Linked DNA regions of Kluyveromyces lactis. The main gene of each other region encodes a partner of the protein of the gene in region 2 in a complex. Links are inferred from orthologs where the notes say so. Each region holds a gene or a part of one and is shown on either strand. Other genes may lie near its edges. The genes, in order: ASF1 and CAC2.

Region 1 (3,018 bases), about 350 kb from region 2:
CTGGCTAAAGGACCCATCCATAGTCCAAATATACAGGGATTGAACTGCTGTGAAACTGCTATTTTAGAGAGATACCACCTTATCAACTGCTACTTTTGGAGGGTTTACTGTTTTCCCAGCCGGATTGACGATAAAAACGGTAGGATTTTCTCTTTTCGGTATGGGGAACGAAAAATGTACTTTTTCAGAAATTACGGGCGTGTGGCGTAGTTGGTAGCGCGCTCCCTTAGCATGGGAGAGGTCTTCGGTTCGACTCCGGACTCGTCCATTTTCTTTTTTGTCTTGAACGACAACATTGCATTCGAAGCGTATAAAGACCTTCCCTCCAAGCTAGTAGTTGATGCAGTCTTGATTTTTTGGACGCTTCATCGACGTGAGGAAGAGTACCGGTTTGTGTTGGTCAGCAATGTTACAAACGGGATTGAAACGATACTTATGAAAGGTATATAAAAGTGCGTTAATTTGGGAGGCCGCCGCGGGAGGCCAGGACGTGGAAACCGTTACTATTATTTGTGTTGGGTAGTATCCTGCGGCGTAGGCAAATCTGCATCATTCTCACTATCACTTTCTTTTTCTAAGTCTATCTCTTCCGCTTCTTCCTCGTCTTCCTCGTCTTCTTCAGGTCCCAAAGATTCCGCTTGCGATTCACCCTCGTCGTTCTTAACGTCAGAAGCAGTAGATTTCTTTGGATCCCTTTTCAGTTTCTTCTTTTCAGGAGCAGTTTCCTCACCTTCACCATCATCTACATCGTCTTCTTCTGCAAGATCTTCTTCAGCGTCCTCATCTGCCTCTTCATCCTCATCCTCATCCTCCTCCTCTTCTTCCTCTTCCTCAGGCTCTTCTTGTTCCGGAGGATAGAACTCTTCTTCACCCTCATTATCCCAAACGATATTAAACCTAGTAACTCTTGGTTTCTCAGCAAGGATATTTCTCACCACATGATCAATAGGCACTTTCTGAGGTGGGTTCTCTCTCAATTCTTCCAAATCGTATTCGTTGTTTACGTAGTACCCAACCCTTACAAACTCTTTACCATTATAAGAGCACGATAGTAAAATCACAGTAACACTGACCAATTCACTAGCAGGAATCAGATCTGGTGAAGGTGCATCTGCCACGAATTTGAACTTGTTGATACCAACGGGTATAGGACCCACCAGGATAGAATCCAATTCTTGATCATGGTCAAGTGATCTAGAAGAACCAACATACGTCAATTTCCATTCCAAATCGTGTTTTAATGGCTCAAGACATTCAAAAGTGATTTCAAATTCATAAGGGTCTGTGAACTTGGCTGGATTGTTCAATACCTTGATTCCTAAAAGTGATACAATAGACATGACCGAAAAACCGCTGTAACTAATATAATGATCCCTACAGTAACTCTCCCGATGCCTTGATACGTAGTCACTGGATTAACAAAGCTTGTTCTTAGAGCAATGCTTTTGTTAAGGTTATGTGATGTGATGTATAATCTTTTTTTCTATCTTTATATTGAATAGTTGAAAAGTTTAAAAGAAAGCGCGTCGCGTGAAGTTTTCAATCAGACAAAGAAAAAGACCGGTAGGAGAGAACGTTGAATCAACAAGGGCTGCTGTAGGTTGATAACACTCTAACAACAGTAGCTCGATAATAATACGATCAAAAGTTTTATTGAATGAAACAAAAAAAAAAAAAGAGATATAGAAGTGAATATACATACCTTATGTAAAATTGAAGTTCAAGGTGAAGGAAGATGCAATGTAGAGGGGAAGCCGCAGCACGGCCATTTCCCCTTCTTTTTTTTTTGTTACACCGTCAACGATGTATAAGTATTAGATTCTTGTACGAATTCTTGCGACAAAGGTCTTCCATTATTGAGCGAGCCATACGATAGCACGGCCGCAGAGGAAGTAGACGATGATGGTGAATGAGAGCCATCCAATTCAGAGAGAAACTTCGAATCGTGAACCAAAGATTCTTCAAAGTAGTAGATGGATGCAGAAATGCGTACCACTCCGATGGTTAGCACTATGAAACCGAACACAAGCCCTGTGTATAAAATCTCGGCTGTATGCGGTACCAATGAATCGTGATAGAACATTGTACTGTTCAAGATTGTAGTCAAATTATAGATGGAGAACACAAACGGATAAAGGATCGATGTAGAAAGATGAGAAAGCCCTGCGTTCAACAAATACAACTGAGTCAACGAGAAAGTTACCAATACCAAAACGAGCAAGACCATATGTAAAGAGATGGACCATTCAGTAACGATAACGTTCGACACGCATTTGGCAATGAGTAAAGCATGAGCTGACCATATACCACTAGCAAATACAAGCGAAAACCCTTTGACACGTTTCCCGACACCGAAAACACCCACCACAATAGACATGATAGCTAAAGCGTTGGTACCGACAAAATAACGAATAAATTTTTCACTTTGAGCCAATTCGCACAACTCTTCAAACGTATGCGTCAAAGGAGTGTTTATGAACATACATGACATTGAAGCCATGATGGTACCACCAGCACAAACAAAACCAGTGGGAATCAGGGGGAACGGTTCTCGTAGAAGCATATGGGAAAATAAAGAGTTGAAAACCAGGCCAGATGCCTGTAAGGGAGCCAATACGATCAAGGGCAAAGTAGCTATTTGAATGACACAACCGAATAAATTAGCCAAAAGGAAAAGCGAAAACCCCAATTGCCATCTCTTATTCCTATAAACGATTGATCTAGGTGGTACCTTCAGTTCAGAATGAAGGGAAAGAAGTTCCGAATTATTGTAGTGGAACATTTCAATACATTCAGCTTTCCGTTGGAAAACGAGTCCTAATGCCTGTAAGGCATTAGCCACGATAGCAGCCACGACTCCTAGCAGAACCACGGGGGGCATCTTGTAACCTGGCGAAGAGAAGAGAAGACAATATACCTTGGGGATGAAATGGTATATGGTATAATATGGGATATTAAATGTGTGTTCTGTATGGTTTGGTTCAGTACTTTTGTACTTGATCTGGAACGAGATATGCT
Region 2 (3,516 bases):
GGTTCGTTACCTGGGTCCCAAGTGGAAATGTTCCAAAATCACAACTCCGTGACACCAGAAGCGTCTACAGAAGATTTTAGGAAACTGATTGGTGATGCTACATGCTTCTGTCCCAACAAAGTCATAGACTGGTCCATCCGTGAAGCAATCTCTTTGGAATCATCAAGATTGGCATTTTCCGTCGGCTCGACCCAACAACCGGGAACCCATATATTGTTCACTTCGGACTACTCAGATGAAGATATGCAAAGTGTGATGGACCACATCAACAACAGGGGGTCTCTTGCTGAAATAAACCACTCACTACCCAGTTTCTCAGCAATAGCTATTCCAAAATACCATTATCTGGCAAAGACAGCATGCGACGTTGAATAAGTACTAGAAACAAGACGTCAGACACTAGATCTGGTTAACGACAAGGACAAAAAGAACAAGAACATACATACAAACATAAACCCAAGGCTATAATAAATAATTTTAAACTAAATATAAAATTGTGGGGAACTTCATTTGTATTCCAATCCAAAGGGTATAGAACTGGTTCTCACGAACAGATCTATCATAAATTGAAATAATTGTAAACAAAGACTCCAAGAGGATGTTCCTTGTATTTCAAAGGACCCTCAGATGCACATTTCATTGGTGCACACCCGAAGTACCACACCTCTCCAGTTAGCAGTTCATTTAAGCACAATAACGGCTCCAGTAGTCTATTGAAAGAAAAGTTTACTGGGAATTTGACTGATGCGCTGAGTAAAATTCTCCTGAATCTCAACGCATTGGTATCTGCTGATACCACTACAAACTTCCCAAGTATAAAATGTTGCAATAGATGCAACAGTTGATCTGATCTGATCTGTGAGTACAGTTTCAGACAGCTCGAGCCTGAGTTATGACTAAAGTAATGGTGACAGATCTGAAAATTTTTTCAAACTGACTGAATTTATATTGAAAAAAACTGTTATTTCAGTCTACTATAGGGCTATTATATTGAAAAAAAGAGAAAAGACAGGCGGAAGGGGGTTGTATGTCGTGTTCACTACCTTTATTCAGTGTTGGAATATTTCTAATGGCATAAGGTTCCCATCATGCAATGTATATATTCATTTAAATATCCAATTTGCTGCTGTATCGCTGATATTCTTTCCTTAAGAAATCGAATTCCTCAGTAAAAGACGATACACGTAAACAATCTGGAAAAAAAAAGAATATCAGGCATTGAAGGGAAAGGTAACGTTGATCTAAAGAGTTATAACGAAATTTGTTAACGCACTAGTAGAGTAATTCTGAGCTCATAAGATAGGACTAGTTCAATTTATCTCAGTTCGAGTAGAGAAAGTGGAAAAAATGGTACAATCCGAGAGTTTACAGATATATTGGCATGACTCTCATCCGATATACTCGTTATGTTTTCAACCCTTATCAGAGACTAACCAGAACACTAGACGGTTGTTCACTTCGGGAGGTGACAATAAAATCAGGGTCTGGCAATTGAATGAGAGCGAAAATGATGGGAAGATAGAGACAATTGATTTTCTTTCGTCGTTGACGCAGCACGAACAAGCTGTCAACGTTTGTCGATTCAATAAGCAAGGTGACACGTTAGCCACGGCGGGAGACGATGGGTTATTGTTACTATGGAAGAAGAACGAGACTATGGTAAAGGAATTTGGTGTAGATGATGATGAATTCCAAGATTTTAAGGAATCGTGGGCTGTATGGAAGCGATTAAGGTCAGGGTCAGCCTCGAATGCCGAGATTTATGATATTTCATGGAACCCTCAGGGAACGTGCATAGCTATTGCATCTTTGGATAACACCGTACGAGTGTTCAATGTGGATCAGGGAAAAGTGGTAGGACATATAACGGAGCATAATCATTACGTGCAAGGGATTGTATGGGACCCTCAGGGAGAATTTATCGTATCGCAATCTGCAGACAGATCATTGGCGATTTGTAAGATGATTTATGAGGACAACGAAGTAAAGGGCTTACAATTAGTGAATAAAATATTAAAATCAGAACTACCAAGGAGGAAAAATCCTGGTGAAAAAGAACTCGATTTTGATAAGTCGAAGGTGACTTTCTTATTCCATAACGAAACCCTTCCGTCATTTTTCAGAAGGCTGTCCATGTCACCATGCGGCAGTCTCTTATGTGTACCAGCTGGGGTCTTCAGAAATGATGAACAAACGGATGCCTCAAATAATAACCCAGAGTACGCGAATGCCGTATATATTTACACAAGGGCTTCTCTAACTTCAAATTCAAACAAACCCGTGTTTTCACTACCCTTTCTACAAAAACCGGCATTAGTGGTCAAGTTTAATCCTATCATGTACGAAACCGCGTCTGAATGGGTGAAAGCACCTTATACACTGGTATTCGCTGTAGCAACTACGAATGAAGTGCTGGTGTACGACACACAAAATACCAGTCCTATAGCGATCGCAGGAAATTTGCATTATACCCCCATAACAGATCTTGCGTGGAGCCAAGACGGAACATTACTAATGATATCAAGCACAGACGGGTTCTGCTCATATATTCACTTCACAGACAATGATTTTGGCACACCTTTGAAAGATCAATCTATACCAATCTTGACGAAGGAACTCGAATCACAATCGCAATCACAATCACAACCAGAATCATCACAAAAGGCTAGTATCGTAAATCTTAGTACCGGTGCCGCCGAAACTCCAAACCCTTCACCAGCTAAAAGATCGATCTCGCAGCTTGTCTCAGAAGCTGCAACCACAGTTGGAAAGGAGAAGCTCAAACGCAGGGTTCAACCTACTCTCGTCACATCAGATCAACCTAAATAGAACTAGATTAGTTTATAGAGAGGGAGATGGCGGAATAACACGTGACTTTGAACTGTTCTCTACGCAATAATTACTGTGTATAGTAGTAAGTAATAATCGCCGAGTTAAGATTCGAGACACCAGCCGATTGCCTTATTGCCAAGCCCGTGACAAGAATCAGGGTGTTGGCAGTTCTAGGAGGTAGAAACAGAAAGGTCTGGGAAACAATATAGAAACAAAATAGGAAATGCAAAAAAATGGTTAGTCACGTGATCAACATTTCTCTCTGGAAAGACATCTAGCTGTAAAGGACACACTCTAGCATGTAATTGAGAATGGATTTCATTTACTGGTATATGTACGATTTATAGATATCTACACAATTGTACCTATCATTTCAGTAGAGACTGTAGGTATTCACTGTTTTCCACCTTTAGTTCCATACTCTTTCTTGCCTGCCATACCATTAATCTCTTTCTTTCTTCTATGGAAAGATCGTTGGGATTCAAGTTTGAAAGATCTTCTTGTGGATCCACGTTGAATTTTTTTAGCAGATTGTCAGCTTTAATGTTGGATCTTTTCCGTGGATCTGTAGATGTGCTATTGTTGTTTGTATTGTTTCCTGTAGTTACAGAGCTTCCGGTCGATTGATTTTGACCATTGGAAGAATTGCCACCTGTTTCAGATTCTGGGACGTAATCTGGTGGG

Evidence for each region.
Region 1: the proteins of CAC2 (region 2) and ASF1 are in contact, whole or in part, in a crystal structure (PDB 2Z3F), measured with the Schizosaccharomyces pombe proteins. The link is inferred for Kluyveromyces lactis from reciprocal best matches to the Schizosaccharomyces pombe genes pcf2 and asf1. Residues at the interface, in NP_594450.1 of Schizosaccharomyces pombe: Lys503, Arg504, Ile505, Ala506, Pro507, Thr508, Pro509, Val510, Tyr511; in NP_588267.1 of Schizosaccharomyces pombe: Phe28, Asp37, Leu60, Leu61, Val62, Gly63, Pro64, Ile65, Pro66, Gly68, Ile69, Asn70, Lys71, Phe72, Val73.

Annotation. Positions count from the first base shown.
Region 1 is NC_006041.1:1,330,589-1,333,606, forward strand, and holds ASF1 (nucleosome assembly factor ASF1), read right to left. Parts: upstream 1,341-3,018; coding exon 507-1,340; downstream 1-506. Other genes in the region: KLLA0_E14917g (uncharacterized protein), read right to left, coding at 1,790-2,881. UniProt on the Schizosaccharomyces pombe protein: Histone chaperone that facilitates histone deposition and histone exchange and removal during nucleosome assembly and disassembly.
Region 2 is NC_006041.1:982,322-985,837, forward strand, and holds CAC2 (Cac2p), read left to right. Parts: upstream 1-1,347; coding exon 1,348-2,829; downstream 2,830-3,516. Other genes in the region: KLLA0_E11155g (HAD domain phosphoesterase family swiss army knife RNA repair protein), read left to right, coding at 1-375; CUE1 (Cue1p), read right to left, coding at 3,201-3,516. UniProt on the Schizosaccharomyces pombe protein: Acts as a component of the histone chaperone complex chromatin assembly factor 1 (CAF-1), which assembles histone octamers onto DNA during replication and repair.